Drosophila melanogaster: one gene and its partners. The protein of the gene in region 3 interacts with the protein of the main gene of each other region in a pairwise test. Each region holds a gene or a part of one and is shown on either strand. Other genes may lie near its edges. The genes, in order: CG33144, CG7220, CG11200 and CG8191.

Region 1 (4,647 bases), 9.5 Mb from region 3:
GAACTCTTTTATGGCCGCTCCGCCCTCTGTTTGTGTCCCTGGAGAAAAGGGCTCGATTAGGGGACGATGTGAGGGGGCGTGTACTATCAGCTGTTTCCCATTATGACTACAGCGGAAATACACAAGCAAGTGGAAAACAGTCGAGGAAAAGCGGAAGCAAAAAAAAGGCCGCCACTGGCAATGCAAACACAGTAACACACTAAGGCACAAGCAAAACTCGCTTACACACGCAAGGCGATAAAAATAAAGCGAAGCCCACGGAACGAGAGGCAAAAATTGGAACTAAATGCGTATACGTAATGTGATAGAACCCACCTAAAAAAAAGGGAACTACGGAGTGATAATAAAACAATGGCACCGTTGACGACACTTCTCAACAAACATTAAGTAAGGGGAAAGAAACTTTAAATAGCTTTTTTTTTCGAAAAATATCCTTTAAACTCAAGTTCAGATAGATGTAAAATAGCCCTATTTTCTATATGAAGAAATGACCACCTATACTGTATCTAAATATTTTGTAGTTACTATTTTTCTTCGTTTTTGTAGTTCACTCGATAAGGTTAAGCAAAAAATGCCAGCAAAAAAGCAGAATCGAAAGGAAAAACAACTTTTCGTGGAAATACCGTGGTGAAAATCGAAAACCGAGAAAAGCGAAAAACAAAAAAAAATGTTATAACCACACAAAACTCACACATCCAGACACATAAAGCTACTTAAGCCCGGACACATCGCACACATTCAAGCGAGGGGAACCCCCCCCCCCCCCTGACAGCTGCCATGGCAAACGTGCGAAAGGGACGAAAGAGGCGATAGGAGCGACAGGGACGGGCAGAAACAAACAGTGGGACACGGAGCTTGTCACTTTATTTGGCTCGATTTCAATGCACTGCCAACTTGGGCATATTAGTATGCAAAACTGATAATCAATAGGCGACGACTCAATGCCCAACGCTCAGTGGAGATTATGGCGCAATTTGCATACGGGCATGTGCCATTTGAAGATGTCACCACCCGTATCCCTTATACCGGGAAATCCTCTGAATTCGTCCTCTCAACTCCGACCAGCGAAGGACTCGCTGTCGTTTAATTGAGCCAGACCATCGCCAGCGTACAATTTGGTGTTCTATGTGTGGAGCGCGAATTTTTTTCGCCCTTAATTGAAATACGGGATAATGACTCCAAAAAGCTTTCAGTCTAACTTGCCCTGCAACGATGGATTGCATAGATCAAACATTTGAAAGTGCAAGAAACTGGCTGGAAAACTGTACAGCAAATCGCAATTTGGTGGCCAATGTCATTTGTCAAACTATAAAATTGGGTTTTCTTAACTAATAAGCTTAAACAACTTGTAAAATAAGTTGTCACACTGATCGATTCTTTAGCTCAAAGAAAAAATAAATTTCTTTTGAATAAATATGTATTTTATAATATTAATGCCAATTAAAAAAGTACTCGCATTCAAGGTAGGTTTTCTCCAAAACATTTATTAATCTACACGAGCATTTTTATACCTATTGCTTTCCTAATATTGAAATGAAATGCTGGCAGGAAATACCATAAATATGAAATGCTATACCTTTTCATCGGTTCCTTACGACCTCTTCGCTGAAATTTTTCAATAACTCTCTGGGGATTTTATGGTCGCAATTTGCAATTTATCATCAATTTGATGTGCAAAGGGCCGAACATAAAAGTGGCTCAAATGGTAAATGTAACAAAGGGCAATAACGACGTATGTATATGGCTGCAGCAGGCGACTGACTAACCCCCAACTAGATCCATAAGCGTAAAGCTTGATTTTCTATTGATTTCTGGTCAGAAGCTCACTGCTATCACCTGAAATTCTGAGTGAAATGCACCTGCTGCTCCTACACGAAGAGAAACGTCACACTCTTTGATAGGTTAATGCCAGTACCGAATTAAGTTGCCCATACATTAAAACCTAAAATCTCTTTTTTATTGCAGTACAACAGAAATTTTGAACATTACAATTCATAGTGGTTTATTTTATGCGAATTTATTGTTGTTGCCCATTTAAAAGATTATGAAAATATTTTATTTTATATATTTATCATGTAATGTATTCATGTACTACAATTTTCTCCAAGTATTCCTGAGTTAACTCTTCAGCAGAATAGCAAAAACTATAGCATACTTATGGGCCGCTTTGAGAGTTGCCATAAGACGCTTAATAACTGTGAGTAGTGCCCAGCAGGGGCGTGTATGAGGAGGGCACATGGCAAGGACATGGGCGTCGAATTGAGGGTACTCCGTCCGATGTACGTGCCAATGGCCGTAGTCGCAGTAATAAACACACGCACAGCCCAGTTAACACAGAAATATGCCCCAAGTGTCAGGGCGGGCAAAACATGCGATGATGAGTGGGGAAAGTAGAGAGGAAATGCGGGGGGGGGGAGCCCAAGGAAATGGGAAATGGATTTTCAGTGGCCTTTGTAATTGTTGTTTTTTGTATTATTCTTGTTTTTCTTTTGTTTTTTTTATAATTACTGCGATAGAGCTGGTTTTTGTGTGTAAGTGTGTTGCTGTGGTAAGCACACATAACGGTAATTTAATTAACATACATAAACACTCACACCGGCACACATAAGGAGAATGTGGCACACAAAGAAAGGTGAAAGGTTGGCGGAGGGGGTTTTACTTCTTTGGGCACTTACGAATCGGTTTCACAAACTTTTCGACCCTTTGTAATCGATTTCGAAATGGGGGTCTAACACGGTTTTAATTAAGATATTTATACTTTCGAAAAGCACTTGACAATTTTTGATTATTTTCAATATACTATTTTAATTCTTGATTTGATCAACAAGCGCACACTAATTTCGGCTATACTTTTTATATATTTATAATTTTGTAAATTTTTTTTTATGATTTAACTATATATCTTTGGAGGTGTGTGTTTACAGGTTCCTTTTTGATTTTATTGTGTTGGCATTTTGCTGCTTTGCCGCCGGATGTTGCACGTTGCGCCAGCACTTCCGCTTTGCGACCGAACCAACCGTCGAGAAACGCGTTCCGCAAGCGAATAAACAAACGGACTTCCACCGCACACATTTGTCGCACTTCCATGGCCAGTGTTGCCGTGCTGCACGTCCTGCGCACTGCGCACGACGCGAGAAGAGAGAGTTTCCCTCTCCCGCTGCTCTCTTCGAAATGCAACCTGCTGACGGAACATCTGTGTTTTTGTTATTATGCTTTTGTCAGGGCAACAGCAACAACTGTAGCATTCAATTGCAATTGTGGCAACCGAACATCCATGTATTTCAATTACACTCACTCGTATGTCGGGGTCACCGAAAATAACTGCCGACTAATTGATGGCGCACAAACGATTTAGGAGCACATTTTGATTGATTATTGCGAACTTTACATATGCATAAGTATGAACGTATACGTCCAGTAATTAATCTGAGTTGTCATAGGAACAAGATATAGATATCAAATATTTAACGAATTGCTATTGTCTAAGATGGTCGTATTCATCAGAAATATATCTGAAATATACATATATCAATATGTGTAATAATATAGACAGGTAATTTCTTCTAGCCAACTATATTGGTATTGAAGTTTAGAAGTGGGTTATTGCAATGATTTTTATTTTTAATATTGGCTTTATGCCTGTGAAAATAATCAAAAATTGGTAATAATGTCAATTTAAAGGAACCCGGTTTTTTCGAAGCACAAATATGTGGCTTGGACAGCTCAAGTACAGCGCCTTTTTTGCAGGACGATTTCCACACAATTGCAGGATTTTGTGCCTCGTCGACGACGCTGCTTAATGTCAAGGTTTTTTGGCTGCTGTTGCAAGTGCAGCAGCAGCAGGAAAAACAGGAAAACCAGAAACGGCCGAATGAGAACGGCACGTGGCCAGCCCCCGCAACGAAAAGGGGCCAGAAAGGGGGTCGATTATGCCATTACCAGGGCAAAGCTGCACCTTCCGCCCCCGGAACCCCCAACCCCCTGCCAGTGCGCCGCGCATGAATGCCGCGACAGACCCGATTCGAAAGCCAATGTCAAGTGCACGCGGCACAAGGATATGGAGGCAGGAGTATATTACAGGCCGCCATCTGCCCCACTGTCAGTTCCCCTTCCTCAGTGCCCACAGCAGCTACAGTGGAGCTTCTATAAATTGACATTGGGCTTTCATCAATATTGAACTCTTCGATATGGACTGGCTTATGAAGACTCGTTTATAATAACACATAAATCCTATTTTCATATACGGCTTAAGTTTGACATACACAGGCTCGACTGTACCTCATCATCGAGCATTAGGACGGTCGTTGTTGTGACCTCCAAATTGGTTGGCACACTCACCTAAATGGGAGTTTATCTATATTTTATGTGCACGACTTATACCTCAGGCCCATTTCACTTGATCACCAATTAGTGACTATATGCTCAATATTTGCCAATATCAAACATCAGGTGCTTCGTCAATTAACTTGTTAATTAGATAGGAAATAGATTCTGTGGTTATAATTGTTTTTGTACCGTATTATAATTGTTACTACTTATTGTAGACGAATTTACATTAATCGATATCCATCCAAATTAGTCTGCGAATTCATTAGTTCAACAAACTACTCAAGGATGATGAACTTTTACTAAAACTAATTCCGTTCA
Region 2 (6,833 bases), 9.6 Mb from region 3:
ATTAATATAAGCTGGGATGGAGGCGATGTGTGTGTGTGCTGGGTCACGCTACTCGGGCAGAAAATGCCGCGAACGATGCATGTGGAATGTGGAAGCAGCAACTGGCGCGAGGTGCCAGAACTATCAAACGTTCAAGTGGTTTGCATACGCTTAGTGGTTAAATGGTAGGATAACATTTAATTTAGACATAAATTTGGTCTTAACAATCTAATTAAAATGTTAACATTTAATAATAGTTTTTCGCACACGCCTTTTGTTGATTACACATAGCTACAATTAGAATTGTTTGCATGCGCCACGATTGTTTGCCAAACACTACCCATAAGTTTCTCGCTAACTTCATTTACTTTGTTGCACATTACGTTCGCATCCGAGTGCACTTGGGTTTTAGTATGCTCCACTCACGAGCAGTGCTTGACCGCCGTCCCACATTTCTTGGATTTCTGGGGGCATCTCGCCGTGTTCTACTTCTGTATTGCTAATGGTGTTTTTTTTTTTTTTTTTTTTTTTGGTTGGATGCGCAAAGCAAACAATAGCAGGCAGTATTAGTAAATGGCAATTTTAACTAAACAGAATCATCTGAAATAAACAATTAGTCAAGTTTAGAGTCAGTGGGCTTTAGTTGGAAAATCACGCATACGTACCGTGGTACCACCATTTAGTCTTTTTAGGATTCTTATTACAGGTTTTTACGTATATCGTGTTGTCCGGCGGACGCTTCTTTTCGCGACAACTACTCAACATGGAGGCTATGCTAAGGCACACGGACTGCACGGACAGCGCCGGGGACCAGTCCTCGGTCAGAATGGATAGGCAGATGTGTCCGTTGCTGTAGACATGCGGATGCACCGGTATATTGGTGCCGATGAAGGTCACCTGGAAATTAAGAGAACATGGTTAAGATTCCATACAGCTTCGCTTTGTTCAACTGAATTATTACCTCTGGCGAATCGAACGGATATTTATTGTTGAATTTGAAAAGTAGCTGGAAGTCCTCGCCCTCGTAAAGTGTGCCCTCGAAACCTTTAATGTTTATTTTCCATCTGTAAACAAAACAGCGATATTAGTGTCAGCTTCCAACAACTGCGGGCTTTGTTTTCAGTGCGAATTGCTGAATTGCGAATTGATTTAAACCAGTTTCAGTTGTCGCTGAACTTGGCCTACTCCGCCTCGAAGTCCATACTTACTCGGATAAATTTTGTTGTACGCTCTCGGTGTCGATGGTTACGCCTGGTGGCGGCTCCTTGATCAGGGACATCAGCTCTTTGTGTAGGCGGCGCTGTGGGGCAGAAAATAAAATTTAAGACTTATATTAGTTAATGACTCGGACAGTTCGCCGTATATCTTATCGCGAAACACACCTACAGCTGGGACATTCTACTTAAGAGTTCTCAAGACTTATTTTTTCCGCTCGCCTTATCGGTGCGCCATTTCTCCTTTGGCTTACAAACGCCAATATACGCTATATGCCTACGCGCGTATAAATAAACGAAATGCTCGATAAGATAAAAACAAATGTCACTGAAATTTATAGAACCGACGATTGTTTTTCCGTCTTTCGGATCCCCCTTCTTATCGAGTGATTGGCACTTGCAGGCCCGTTTTCTGTACCATAAACAAGTATCGCACCGCTGCCCCCACAAATGAGCTGCGGATAAATGGGTTTGATCGATAAGGTTTGGATTTGGCAATGCCAAGAATAATAAAAACAAATCTTGGTACAGCCTTGAAGAGAATCAACAGAAGATTCACGCAGATTTCTTGAAACTCAAAATACTACATACTCATGATGCAATGGAACACTATATGTATATTAACGACCAGTTGTTCGAACGCGATATCTGGCCAAAGTTCAGGTTTAATATCTCGAATATACTTGCCTCCCATCGCGAGTTGTCCAACTGCAAAGGTTTTCCGCACTTGGAGACCGGCGGTGTTTTGGGCTCCTTGGGCTCGGTTAAAATCTCCGATTTGGGTATTTTGTCTTTGGGTTTTTTAAACAGCTTCATCATTTTGTAGTTCTAGTTTTCACACAGTTTCTCACAAATTTTAGCTTTTGTTGTGTCACCTATAACTTGTCACTTTTAGGCAGATTGCTCTCGGCTTGCTGGGCTTGCTTTTAAGTATTTAAGTTAGTTAGTCGCACAGTTCAATATGCCAGCGTTTTTCCTAGGAGGCGAGAGTGGGCGTGGGGCATGGCAGTCATTTTATTAGCGAACCGATTCGTGTAGACCAATTGCGGCAACGTTCGTGGGACGACTGCAGGAAAGCGCCCAGAAAATTGTGGGAGAGACTGCAGGGCGAGTCGAGTGACGAAGCCCGATGTAGCGACGTGTCTCTGTGTACGTACTGTCGGGCACAAGTAGTAGAAGTCGTCGCCGCTTTCGGCACCTCTCCAATCGCACCACCCCCCGCTCTCACCCGATCTGTGTATACATATCTACGTTGGTTGTGCACTATCAAAAATGAGAATTCGCAAGTGCAGCGAGAAACGGCCCAAACTAGTTCGTTAACCTGAACAAGTTGCCCGTCCAGCTGGTTTGGTCCTAAACTTAAGTCGCGATTGTGTCCCCGGATCACGAAATGGTGGCTCTCACAGCCCCTCGCTCCACCAAAGGTATTGGCAGAAACGCTTATCGGACCACTGCCCTGGCACGCAGCCATTACCTGATAAGCACACGATTAGATTACAGCGACGGAAGTGGCGATAAGCACATCCTACGTATATGTTAATACAGTGTGGGAAAAGCTCTACGCATTGAGGTACCAAAAATATATTTATATATAATCAACAATTTTAATATTACGGAAGTTCAACTGGTAAACAGCACTTACTGAAGTTCATAAAGAAGCATTTTCCCAGTAAATTGCGAACTCATTTTGCTCACTGCACATACTCGAACAAAAGGAACACAAGTGTTCAAGACGGTTGCATACGTCAATGGGGCATACATTTCAATTGATGGCACAATGAAATCTTCGGCTTTTAAACTGAAATGAAGACGAGCGTCTGCTCATGATTAAAAGCAATCAAGCAGGGCCCTAGAAGATGATCGATTATATAAGTCGGACACTGGTTTACAGAGAACTGGTTCTAAATGAAGCGACAGATCGACAACCACTTAGCGAGGCCAATTTAAGTGGACCCATTAAATAAGTTCCGCAACCATAGTGTACTATAGTATAGTATATAGTATGATGGACCCAAATGGGCCGCCAAACGCGAAAAAATCAGCGCTGAAGTAGGCCAGACCAATAAACACGCGCCACACTCAGCGGGGGCTACTTGCGTTTATTTTAGACTCAATCAAACTTAGAGAGCAAAACAAAAGCTGCTTGAATCAGCCAGAAATAAATAAATAAAACTGCAGTTGAATGCCAACGTCTAGAAGAGCGCTGCCTGGGAAATTTTATGAAAACAGCCAAAACAACCAAACAATGGACTCGAAAAATTCTTCGGCAATAAAAGCCAAGCAGAGTGTAAACAAATAAACCAGCGACTGCCAGACTTTGGTGGCGCTGGAAAGGGGGGACGCGTCTGTTTTTTATTTATTTCGCTTTTTCCTAGAATATTTTTCGGCTAAGCACAATGGCCGAGGAATAAAGCGTGCCACCACCAAAATCTTTGTGGCTGATAAACATTTTGGCAGCTGATAGCCGCAGTATTTTGGAGGTAAGCCAGAGGGTGAAGGACGATTAGCGTAGACATAAACACATAAGATTTGGATTGTGGGTGGCTCTGCATGATGGGGAAATCATTTGAAATGAATCACGCCACGAAAAATGTTTTGGAAATCGCATTTGCTGGCCAACCTTGGGCTGTGAATCACACGCCAGGCTAAAATAAACAAACCCAAGCCACTACACTCTGGCCAAATTATGCAAGTGGGAGGCCCAGAGGCCCGGTCTGAAAACCATATAAAGCGATTTCCTGAACCGGAGAAATGCTAAGCGCATTACGGTAAAGGTGAAAGCGGAAGAACCGAGGGATGGGCCATAAGTGTGTATAATAAACTCGCTGCAACCTTAAACTTGGCAAGAAGCCACCTGCCCCCTTCGCCACCGGTCGATAAATCATCGGGTACGTCATCATCGTACATTCTGACGTCAGAGATCGTGCTGAGTGGCGTTTTATAAAATAACGAAAACCTGATGCGCCAGTTTCGGCTTTATCATCAGCTTGAAGAGAGCGGCAATCGACATGTGTCACGTTCGCGGCGGATGAGCAACAAGTTCCATAGCGCATCTAGAGCATCTCCTTTGGCCGATTGCCGCTGACATGGAAGTATTGTATATAGCCGTAGGGAAATCTAGGAAACGTAAGCCATCAGAACGAGGACGTGTTGTTGTCGCAGACACGTGAAAGGCGTGTGTAATTACAATGTGCGAAACTTGTTGCTGTGAGGAAAAGACAACGGAATCGCAGTAATTAAATTAAAATAAAATGAAATGTAAGCGACTTAAATGCAAAGGTGTCTCTCTTCTGAGATTAAAGCGTTCTTCGCTGTGAAGGTGATGCGAAAACTGATGAGGAAAGTGACATATTAATCGCAACGTCAATGAAATTGCGCAGGTACACTTTACAGCGATTAAATCTGCCGATCAGCGATCACGTTTGGCAGGTCAGTGACTTCAATAATCCCTCTATTGCCAAGACCTTATCAAGGAGACACTTTCAAACAGCTAAATTGCTCTGCTGCCCTTTGGATGCCATTCGAAACCGCCTTTTAAACTCAACCATAAATCACTAATTGACTCGCGGGAGTGCTAACAAGGCAAAACACTTCCTTATGGCGAATCTGATATTCTTTGTGATCGGATTGGCCCATGCATATTTCATGATGCCACTTCGAAGGCTTGATACTTCTTGATTTTCAACTACAGGCTGATATCAGATTTATAACAAAATTTGAAAACACTTTTCATGGTATTGAAAACGATCTATAAACTGGTTCTAAAATGTGGTGGCTATGGCTTGCTGTTTATTTATAGTGATCTAATGAGTAAATGGGAGCGCCGGGCAATTAATATGTTTCGCGCGTGCCAATGATGTCGCAATTGAGGAGCGGACAAGAGGATCCCTGGGAAAAACGCTTGGCCACCGGTGATCAATGGTTGGCAAAAGTTAAACCTGCGCACTTTGGATCCGAATCGAAGTGTTTTGGCTTATGAATTTCGCGTCGCGAAGAATCTGGCAGAGCGGCGCGTGCGAATTCGCGTGGCATCGAGCACTGAATGCGAGCGGCGTCAATGGCGATGAGCTTCTATTTTCGGCAGACGGGAGAGCGATCCGCGTGAGCCACATATGTATTGTACTTATGTGTATACAAAAGACATTGCTTGATGAGAAAGGTGCTGCATAAACGAACAATATTAAACCAGATTATATTTGCGCGGGTACAAAATGCTTATTAAAAAAGGTACACAATAAATATCCCGACCGGTAAAATATACAATACAATTTTAAATATAAGACGTATTGCCAAGGAGCAAAGATACAATGCCAAGACTTGATACATACACAGGTTTTATAAACTTTATGGTCATATGGCAAACCCTTAAAGTAATGAAATTCAAGCGAGCTATAGTAAACTCCCCATGCCAGGTTAACAGCTCCCTAAAGAGCATCGAGCTGGCAAGGATCGAAGGTTTTTTGCCAAAATGCAAATGCATTGTTTATGTGGCATAAACAAGCATTCAGGCGAAGGGAAAGTGCAATGAATGCCATGTAAACATTTGGCCATTGGGAGGCAGATGACATTGGGCCGTGTCTGTGGCCTGTGGGTGGGCACAAACAGCGGCCCGATTATGGCGGGGTTAGCAGCAATTAGCGACCGGGGTCAGACGACCTCGGCCTGCAGAAACCAATAAGTTATATAACGATAGACGGACTGGTAGATCGAGCAAGAAGCTGGACAAGCTTATCATTGCAGAGCGCTGTGTCACTCCTCAGCTATGAATCTCTAGAACGATAAGATGACGTTGAACCTTCTACTCGTGGGATGGCAGTCCGACACGCGATTGCGGAAGGGAAACCTTTCCGGATCGTTAACATTTGCCCAGCTGCGGTTAAAACCCTCTACTATATTGAATACGCCTCGGATATCGAAATTATCCCAAGACTTCAAAGGGAACTCACCTCGCTTGGCGACTTCGAAGACATACTACTACTGCTTGTCTTGGGGAAATCCGTCCTGGTGTTCCTGCCGATTCCTGCTCCAAGTCCTGGCTGCTCCGCTCGCTGGCTATCTGTTCCGTTTCCTCCGTGGCCAAAGCTCTGCGTAAAGTCTGCTTTTAAGTAAATGTTATTAGAAAAATAAATATCTGAGTGGATAGTGTGACCCTCCGGGCAGTGTTGAAAACGATTCGTGCATCGCACGTACAAATTGTGAGCGAAACTAAAAAATACCGCACTCAGCTGTTCCGCGTGTAGGTATTTTTGAGTTTTCCGCTTTGAACGCCGGTAAATAGTTTAATTTCAGCGGAGTACAATAATTGTTTTAAAAATTTGTCAATCCAATTTGGGTTGACAAGTTATACTGACGACAGTTTAGAAAAGTTGTTGTGGTCCCTAGAATGGATGTGTTTTTTTTAGATGTGTTTAGTACAAACAGCTGATTCAACACAGTATTTTCGATGTACAGTAGATACCCGTAAGAAAGAATAGGACAAACAATTAGCTTATTTTTAAGCTATGAAATATATGTATTTTGCCAGTTTTTTAAGCAAAGATGCTTTTTTTATTTAAATTTGGCTACATTTAATTCTATATCTATTTTAAAAGCTGTATCTCGTATTGAATACTCACTGTTACATTAATATTTCGTTATACT
Region 3 (6,257 bases):
CTTAGCCTATTGTAATACATATATACTGATGGATGCAATATGTTTCTAGGCTGGTTCACCCAATCCAAGGAGCCGCATCTGCAGCGTGATTATTGCTATGCCTACAGTCAGCAGAATGGGAAATTCGTGGAGTGGAAGGAGCGCGAGATCCGTGGCGAGGATACCAGCTACAAGACATCGCTGATCTACGTGGCCCAAGAGTACATCACGGCCATCGACGTGACCGTGCGCCGCAATCTGGTGTACAACTTCCGATCGCTACTCTCCCGCGATGCCAAGGGTCAGGTCTATGCGGGCATCTACTTCCCGCTGGTGGCCAATGGGCAGGAGGCCTACCTCACCATCTTCTACGACGGACCCAATGAGCAGCGAGTGCGGACGAAGCTGATGTTCAGCGCGTTTAAAGTGGGCAAGGGAAAGGTAAGGATCACTGATAGCTATAGCCAATGGTTACCCATTACTAACCCAGTTATTATCACCCATCAGCTGCCGGACTATGTGGGTCAACATCTTAGCAGGCTGGCGCCGCAATTGAAGATACCGCTGCCGGAATTGACCGAACTGTGCAAATCCCTGGCCGAGGTGGTCACCGACCAGAGCTTCATCAGCCAGGTGCTGGCCATAAACGATGACATCGGCAACATGTCCGTGGAGAATTGACAGTTAAAGGAGCCTAAGGATGTCGCTGCTACGGAAACGGAAACGAAGATGGAGGAACAGGCGATAAAAGACATTGACAACGCAGCTGCAACTTAGAGTTCCGAACCTATTTGAATACTTTGAATACTTTGTCCTTTCCACAGTAATATTCTTTTTAGTAGCATATAGGCACCTCTTACACCAGCACACACGATTCAAGTATATATTCAATTTAGTCTAGTATATATTTCAAAATATTTATTCACCTATAAACACGACAACACGCTCTATATGGTAATCCCAACTGAATTATTTAATCGAAAGCGAAACGAAATTTTATTCAAAATATTTAAAAGAAATGCGCAAAGTTTAGACTTCAATGTTTCGCTTAGGTTCTTCTAATTTCAAACTATATATATACTTATGCGCAACTATATAATGGCAAAATTAGTTATAACTGGTATCAAGGCAAAACATAAATTGTAATTGTTGTACGAACATATTTCCGTTTAAACACTTAAATGCACTGTACTATTTCGGTTCAATAAATAAATCAGCTAGCAAAAGAAAGAAGGTATTTTGTTGGGAGACTTAAAACATAATTTTACTTGAACTTTAACTAACATGAAAAGATTAAAGGTGTATTATTGCCTTAAATTTGAATTTCGATATTTTTATGGCAGTGATATCGATTAGTTTGGTAACAGTAGCTTAACATAGAATAGACATGTTACTGTTAATAAGCTTAGCTCAACATTTAGGTATTTTTTGCACACGCAAACTCTGTTTCTCTGTAATAAAAACATTTGTTTAAAAACCTCAGGTTTCTTATGATTTACAAATGAATAAGGACAAAATAAAGAAAAATGCATACTGACGGCAGATATCGATGATTACATCAACAATCGATATTTTGAAACAGAGAAAGTGCAGCCCTGGTGCCATCGATGTATATCCACCTTGGATTTTCGCTTGTCTGCAGTTATTTCAATTAAGTTGTTTCAAATCAGCGTTTTTGTGAGTGCACACTAAGGTAACAACACGCCGACCGACCCGCTTAACCATTGCATAACCACGTAATTGTACAATATCAGCTGTTTTTCTGCGTGATCAGCCGGCAAGTGGGTAAAATTCACCTGTTGACCAGCGGCAATAAGCCAAAACAAAACAACAACAATCGTGGATCAAGTTCTTGGCGGAAAGGCGCGCAATTAAAACCTAACGTTCAGTTCGCTTTTGAATTTCTCGCCGAGCGGTTGTGGCGAAAATAAGGGCCCGCTGGAAAAACCGGTTTTCAAACACCAGCGATTGATCCTCTTCGAAAACGTGAAAGAAAACAAAAAGACGAGGAAGCGCCGCCGCAGCCTTTAATTGAAAAAAAGGGTGTCAATATTAGCATAGAAATCGAGGCACAGGTGCATTTTCGTCTGCGTCAGCCAAATTGAAGGTAAAATTGAAAAGCCCTCTGCAAGGGCAACAACAATAGAAAAAGAAAGTTAACCATATGCAGCCAAATTAAAAACGACCGCGGCAACAACAGTAAAACTGCTAAGCTTTTGCGTTTTGTTGACGGAAGTCGAAACTCTTGACAGCACGTTCGTGGTGTCATGCGTACACACAGAAAAAATGGAATTACTTTATGTGAAAAATGAAAAATTCATACAAAACCTATTTCTAATTTGTAGTGAAGTTCTTATCTTTTAAGTGCAATCTATTATAAAAGATAAAGCAATTAAGAGAATTTCAAACAACCTTCACTCAAGAAAAATAATTCTATTTCCTTAACTTTCTTAAAATGGAAAACCATTCTGCGCAGTACAATTTGTAAATATTTTTATATTTTACACCAATACTAAAGAGTTTTTCGCAGTGTACTATGCTAGGTCGTCCGTACAGATATTTCCCCGCTGCCCCCGCAAGAAGAGCCCAAAGAAACCGACCCTAGTTGTTGCTGTTTAGCGCCTCAGTCATTTTCAGCTCTGGCCCCAAATTCACTATTTTGGCCCCGTTTATTGGCTTTGGCTCGAAGCTCGGCTCTTCAACTTTCATTCCGCCGCTGTTTGGGTTTTTAATTAGCATTTTACGAGCACACCTAAGCCAGTTCTCTCGCTGTCTCCCAATAAACGCGCTCAACTATCTTCTGTCTAATTAATTTAATTGTTTCCCCGCCCGATTAAAAATTAAGATTCCAGTGCAGCGCTCAAAGTGCAGGTGGCAAATATGCACTGCAAATATCGGTGGCCAAACAATCGCGTTAGCTTTATAAGCCCGGCTAACCAACGCTGGAAATTGCTGGGCAAATAAGAAAAAACTGAGGGAAAGAGGCAACAACTCAAGCTATTCGACGGCCAATGGGGTCAAGTCGATTTCAGAACACGCTCTCTGATAAATATCATTAAAAAGTTTATTAATTATTAGACTTCTATCCCCAAAAATGGGGTTTCCTGGTGAAAATTCTGAGATTTCAAACATCATTCTTGTTACTCTGTCGAATTAGGATTAGTGCGTTAAAACAGCACTTTTGTAAAAGCCTTTTTAATTGATAGCAAAGATCATTCTACAAAAAGTTCGAGCTTTATAATTAAACCACATTTTTAAGTGATTAGTTACTCTCTACTGTTACGCCAACTTGATAGTATAAAGGCATGATAATTGTAGAAGCTCGACTATTCGCAGCTGAATCGTGACACGAATCAATCTCTGGCAAGTATATATGGCCAACACACCTAGAATTCCAAACGAATATGGCCAACAGATGTACCCGCTGGCACTCGGATCGCGAAATCTTGCTGACTCAGTTGAAGAGTTTCGCAAAGTGCACTCGAGGCGAATTTACCCGCCAATATTGATAATGTTGCCGGCTAATGGCTAATGTCTGTGACGAACCAGGATCGGTTTTCGTTATCAGCCGGCGCACTTTGCCCGATTTCTTATCAAAACCCGTATTCCCTTTGCAGAGTTCCGGAGAGACGGCGATCCGATCCGATAAGAGCGTATAATGTTGGGAACTTTGCTGTGGATTTTCTTCGTCGGCCTGCTGCTGTGTGCGTTCCTCTTTTCGAAGACCACCAAGGAGTTCCCGAAGTCCTGGTTCGAGTGGAAGACTGAGTTTCGGTATCAGTACCTGGGAATCGTTGGGCTCGTCCACGATGCCCAGTATAAGGCACGGGATCGAGTGGGTAAGTCAATTTGCTAGCCGATGCTTATTCCACGATCACTAATTGTTGCCATTATCCATTAAGCACTTTATAAACAACCGGACCGCATTGCTGTCATCACCGGAGGCAATCGCGGCATCGGACTGCGGATCGTGGAGAAGCTGCTGGCCTGCGACATGACTGTCGTCATGGGTGAGTTGACCAATCTCCGCCCAACAACTTGTTTCAGGCCTATTCCTATCCATAAGTCGGCGATCTGCTTATGAATTCCACAAACATTTAACCGTGCTGCAAGTGCACGTGCTCGGCAAGCTAAAATCGAACATCGAATAAACGATCGTCGAAATGCAGATCCATTCCCACCCTTGTCAATGCGATACAGAAATCATGACCCATTCTCCTGATTTCATTATCTAACCAAGTCGCGTAAAAGTCTCGATTTTCGGGAAAGACAAGCGATAAGAGTTCATTGACTGGTCGGAGAAAAGAATTCTAAATTTCAATGAAAAGGGTCACAGTTATCAATAATTATTTTGTATTTTCTCGTTAACATTTTTGAAAATGGCATTTTTTGTTGCTTTTCCAATTTCTTGCTTTAATACGTTTACTTACAATTTCACTGCATATTTTAGTCTCTAAGAAAATTCATTTATTAAGAAATCATTTTTTTTTTTAAATATATTTAATTTTATTGTTAGTGCTAGTTAAAATAATAAACATTTTAATCATTTAACAGTCAACTGTTATTTTCTACATTGAACTTATGTAAAATGTATAGATGTAAAAACCAGAGCTTGAAGTGCGCTATACAGGCGCTAGGTGTCGCTTATATTGCTTATATTTTGTGTAAAATAGGGTAGATTAGAAAACACTCATAAAAAAGTGTTTTAAAGGATATTTATTAATTAAGTTCTGTCCTCTCAGCAATTTTTGTCAGTGGCTCACTTTAATTTATGCATTTATTGCAGGCGTTCGTGATCCCAAAATTGCCGAAACCGCAGTTGCATCGATAGTCGACTTGAATGCTACCAAGGGCAAGCTCATCTGCGAGCAACTGGATGTTGGGGATCTGAAATCCGTAAAGGCATTTGCTCAGCTCATCAAGGAGCGGTATTCAAAAGTGGATTTGTTGCTGAACAATGCTGGCATCATGTTTGCGCCCTTCAAACTAACCGCCGATGGCTACGAGTCGCACTTTGCCATCAACTTCCTGGGACACTTTCTGCTCACCCACCTGCTTCTGCCTCAATTGAGGGCGGCAGGCAAGGAGGGAAGGAACTCCAGGATCGTGAACGTCAGCTCCTGCGTGAATCTCATTGGACGCATCAACTATAAGGACATTAACGGAACGTACGTTTGAGTAATTGTCGCCTAAGTTCCTTATTTACTAGGTTTTACTGCTTGCAGAAAACACTATTACCCGGGAACCGCCTACAGTCAGTCAAAGCTTGCTCAGATCTTGTTCACCCGCCATCTGCAGACACTGCTGGATGCAGAAAAGTCGCACGTGCAGGTCAATGTGGTGCATCCGGGCATTGTGGACACGGATCTGTTCGAGCACTCGGCCACCACATCGGTGCCCATTTTCAAGAAGCTATTCTTCAAGACTCCGGAAAGGGGATCCCGCACGGTGGTCTTCGCGGCCATTGATCCCTCCATCGAGGGTCAGGGTGGTACTTACCTCTCCAACGGCGGAAAGGGTCCTTTCCATCCGGATGCCAAGAAGCCGGCAAAGTGCGAGCAGCTTTTCCAGTTCTCCTGCGACCTGTTGAAAATCCAGCAGTACGGAAATGGCGAATACTAAATGAACTCCACACTCAGTCTATCTCACATTCCTCCTACTGGTGCAACGTACTTTTCTAGATACCGTCAGCTTTTTTGTAAATCGATTTCTTTTGTATAAAAACATTTTTATATAGAACTGCAGCTGGTGTTTTGTGTTCAGGATCTGCTGATGCTAATCTGGTCAAATTGCTGTGCTAGGTTTTAATTAACTTGTCTGCGCTTGATTGCCATCGTGGGGCTAGGGAATGCAATTAAAAGAGCTGCAAGAAACATTTATTTGAAAATGCACTCAGCAGTTGGCGGCGGCAGCTTGAAAGGTGACAACAACAACAACAACCACGTCATATCTGCTGTATGTCAAATTTTCGAAAAAGCAAACAATTTAATTTTGTGCGCCTCCTCAAACAATGAGCGATTAACATTCAACATTTTGGAGGAATTTTAATCGACTTCAGTTAAGGGGACAGGAGTATGGGGGTTCCAGGAGAGCGGTACGGAGACGGAGGAACTCAGGTAGGTAGGTGTATCATCTCGAAAAACAACTGCGAAGCAACTACAACTCGACTGTCACTTAAGCGAACTGAACGCTTAAAAGCGAACGACATGATGGCTGCAAAAAAAAAAACAATCTCATATTTAATGCATATCCAAAAAAGACTCTATCGCTATATGAAG
Region 4 (3,694 bases), on a different chromosome or scaffold from region 3:
GTGCTACTCCCCACAACAGATTGGACGCATTCCTTGAAGGCTTCTACGACATTATTCCAAAGCATTTAATTTCGATATTCAACGAACAGGAACTGGAACTTCTCATATCCGGCCTGCCGGATATTGACATTGAAGATCTAAAGGCGAACACCGAGTACCACAAGTACACCTCTAAATCGGCGCAGGTGAGACCATGATTGTGCATCTTCCTCCATCCTCCATCCCTCTCTAAACCATGTATTTTTTACCCATTCATTAGATTCAATGGTTCTGGCGTGCACTGCGTAGCTTTGACCAAGCGGACCGCGCCAAGTTCCTGCAATTCGTCACTGGCACATCGAAAGTGCCGCTGCAGGGCTTCGGCTCGCTGGAGGGCATGAACGGGATTCAAAAGTTCCAAATCCATCGGGACGATCGATCCACTGATCGCTTGCCCTGTGCACACACCTGGTGAGTAGGGATCCACAAGTCGCATGAATTGTTTGCAATGTCATAGACCGTATTAACTTACCCATCTCTGATTGCAGCTTCAACCAACTGGATCTGCCCATGTACAAGTCATACGACAAGCTGCGGAGCTGCCTGCTGAAGGCCATACACGAGTGCTCCGAGGGCTTTGGCTTCGCCTAAGGTGCGACAACTGTGACGGCAGCTTCAAGCACCAGCCGGCAGAGCCACCAGTAACCAACAAACCATGGACGCAACACTATTCCTACAACGCCCTCAAATACACGGGTGCAACGATGAGAAATGCATAATTGATTTGAATTGAACAGAACAGAAGAGAACAGAACAGCCACTGCAAATTTGCGATAGCGGCAACAGAAACTGCATACATAAACAGTACATATAGTTATATAGTATATATAAAAATGTTGAATTAATTATTAATTTTCGCGCCTATATATATATACAATATATATTTTCTTAAATTTTCAAAAGAAAACGGAAGAAAACTAAGGAAACCTAACAAAAAAAAATATAAAATATAAAACTGATACAGACGCGAAAAGTATATTCGATTTAAAATTCTCTGCGCAACTCATCTTTTTTTTTATTAATTTTTTGGAATCTATCTCTGTCGTTTTGCACATTTTTATCAAAAGAAAAGGATTTATATAAAGAAAAAAAATACACTGACACATTTTCATTTACCCAAACGCGAAACCGAATAGAAAAGGATTAAACGTAGTTTATAGATCGCAAATGCACATAAACAGATTACACACTTGGGTTACTTGTTTACTTAAGTGAATGTACGTACCGAAGATAAAGGGAAGCAACAGAAAAAATATTTAAATGGATTAAAGTATTTTGATGTAAGAGATAAGTCCTTATGTTAATGCATTTTATGTTTACCTTTGAAATAATGAGACGCAGATGTAACTTAAAGAATGTGGAATAAAGAATAAGCTCATTTATCACAATAAATTTTCAGAAATCACTTCACATGCTCATTATAAATGCGGCTGGAAAGGATGGGTACGCCATATATATAAATAAATACATATATAAGGTCTTAATGTCGATCTCATTTAATTTGGGCGCCTTTCAATTTGAAATTCGATTCTATCGCAACGGGCAACGACAGATCGATATCTCATGCACAGCAAACCGATCGACATTATCGATTGTGACATCGAATTTTCGGACAGCTGACAGCTGCAGTCCGTATGGATTTGTTTATCCGAAAAGAACTGAGCCTATCCACGAGCAGCGTGCTTGAAGATGTGGCGCCGCACTGTCTCAAGCTACTCACATGGCTGCACGATTGTCAGGAGGAGATGCACTCCGAGCACCGCCATCTGCGACTGAGCCAATCCGTTGTGGAATCCCTGCTAAAGGCTCACCTGTACCTGTTCGAGTGCTATGATCGCTTCGGGCAATCGCTGGCCGAACGCTGCGATTGCCGTGGCTTCTTCGCTAGCTGCTCTGCATTGGTGGATCGACGGAAGTGTATTCGTGAGCTGTGTACCACCATCGTGAACACACGAAAGGGAGAAACTCATGCACCACTGCTTCATCTTTCGCATCGAACGTTGGCCGAGATTCAGCCTGCGTGGAGTGAGATCGGTGATTTGGACTGGTCGGCAATACGCCAATCGGATGCGCTTTCTTCCAGCGATTTTATCAATCCCGATCTTCAGCAGATGCGACGGCTAGTCAAGCGGATTGGCCGCTTATCCAGCCTTGAGGACATGCAGACCGCAATAAAGCGCTCCATGGAGCTGATTGAGTACCAGGTGTGGCTGCAGCTTTTTAGGGAGCCAAAGGACAGCGAAATTCACAAGGATTGCTACCTAATGCGCCACATGATCTGTGACACTTTATCGGAGGGCGGATCTACCGCTTGCACCGGCTTCCTGCACAATATCTTTCTGTTCGTATCGCAATCCGCCAATGAGATGAGATTCTGGGCCAGTATGGAGCATGTACGTCTGGCCGGCAGCCTTATTGCCTACCTAATCGACCATTGGAATCGCCACCTGCCCTACCTAGACTTGGATGAGATGCAATTGACCGCTGATGCACCAGTCACGGCTGTCTCGCAGCTGCCCGTGAACGAGGCCACATACATAACCTACCTGATGCTGGCCACCGGATCCATATGTCGCCGGCAGTTCGCCCAGCAGCTGCGTGCCCAACTACCCCCCAATTCCTGGACACATTTGCTGGAGCTGCTAAATAAAGTGGCATTCGTTTTCACTTAACTACACTACGAGTTTAATCATGTTTCGGCAAAAACTCGCAGTTGCCATCGGTCAGGCGAACCACCTTCTCGCCCTTCTCGGCCAGGATCTCCTCGATGTTGCGCTTGCCGTCCAGATCTGTGAACCAGTTCAGATTGTCGGCGATCAGGTGGTGATTGGAGCAGCCCTCGCAGGTCACGATAACAACGCCGCGTTGGTATGCCAGCTTCGAAATGGTCTTCATGTTCCGGGTCTGGCACACCTTGCAGGTGTAGATCAGCTGCATCTTGGCCTCCAGTTTCGCCAGAGGAATGCTATTCGTGGCCACCGTCTTGTCCGCATCGTCCTGGGAGCAGAGCAAAATAATTATACTTAACTTTTTTGTTATACATAATTTTAAATATTGCATTCCATTTATAATATTTTAAATTACAAATGTAAATAACATTATTTAATATCAATTGGGTAGTTTATTTGTATTTACAACTGATTTCCAAACATACCACTGGCTTACTGCAGTGTATACTGCGGCAAATGCACGTGTAGTTGTTGCTGCTGCTAAAAACAGCTGTTTGTGTTTTGGTTGCAAAGTGATGCACTTGCAACTGCAATTGTGGACTATTTAAAGCATCAATTTGTGTTCTTCGGGAACTGGTAAGTAGTGCGCCTCTTCTCACACCTGCGCTGATTTTATAAAATTTTTTTAGGGCGGACATATCCTCGATTTTGTTGATATTATTTAACTCAATCGAAAAGTGTGAAATTCATTTAAACTTAGAGATGGCACCTCCTTTCATTTCAAAACTAGTCGCGAGTCACGATTTTAAAAAGTTACTATAGCTGTCACTGGTGCTGATAAAATTTGCTGTAACTCACAGACATTAAAACCAATTGTTAATATAAATTCTACTGTGAAATATTAAGTTAAGTTATTAATGAAGTCCACCTGGACTCTGGGGCTTAAAAATAACTTATTTTTCAAACAGGTAGTAACCGTTTCTCCG

What was found.
Region 1: the proteins of CG11200 (region 3) and CG33144 interact in a two-hybrid assay, tested with the Drosophila melanogaster proteins (one large-scale study listed by BioGRID).
Region 2: the proteins of CG11200 (region 3) and CG7220 interact in a two-hybrid assay, tested with the Drosophila melanogaster proteins (one large-scale study listed by BioGRID).
Region 4: the proteins of CG11200 (region 3) and CG8191 interact in a two-hybrid assay, tested with the Drosophila melanogaster proteins (one large-scale study listed by BioGRID).

The regions. Positions count from the first base shown.
Region 1 is NT_033778.4:10,795,665-10,800,311, forward strand, and holds the start of CG33144 (uncharacterized protein), read right to left. Parts: upstream 3,046-4,647; 5' UTR 2,676-3,045; intron 1-2,675.
Region 2 is NT_033778.4:10,731,103-10,737,935, reverse strand, and holds CG7220 (uncharacterized protein), read right to left. Parts: upstream 5,238-6,833; 5' UTR 5,140-5,237; intron 2,556-5,139; exon of another isoform or gene 2,117-2,555; 5' UTR 2,013-2,116; coding exon 1,881-2,012; intron 1,280-1,880; coding exon 1,188-1,279; intron 1,044-1,187; coding exon 941-1,043; intron 877-940; coding exon 645-876; intron 580-644; coding exon 566-579; 3' UTR 511-565; downstream 1-510.
Region 3 is NT_033778.4:20,303,976-20,310,232, reverse strand, and holds CG11200 (uncharacterized protein), read left to right. Parts: upstream 1-1,561; 5' UTR 1,562-1,672; intron 1,673-1,733; 5' UTR 1,734-2,086; intron 2,087-3,596; 5' UTR 3,597-3,637; coding exon 3,638-3,818; intron 3,819-3,881; coding exon 3,882-3,989; intron 3,990-4,765; coding exon 4,766-5,147; intron 5,148-5,204; coding exon 5,205-5,601; 3' UTR 5,602-5,716; downstream 5,717-6,257. Other genes in the region: CG13868 (uncharacterized protein), read left to right, coding at 50-420, 487-660.
Region 4 is NC_004354.4:15,730,518-15,734,211, forward strand, and holds CG8191 (uncharacterized protein), read left to right. Parts: upstream 1-1,660; 5' UTR 1,661-1,673; coding exon 1,674-2,711; 3' UTR 2,712-2,724; coding exon of another isoform or gene 2,725-3,036; 3' UTR 3,037-3,146; downstream 3,147-3,694. Other genes in the region: HUWE1 (HECT, UBA and WWE domain containing E3 ubiquitin protein ligase 1), read left to right, coding at 20-185, 260-450, 528-630; CG12379 (uncharacterized protein), read right to left, coding at 2,725-3,036, 3,194-3,406.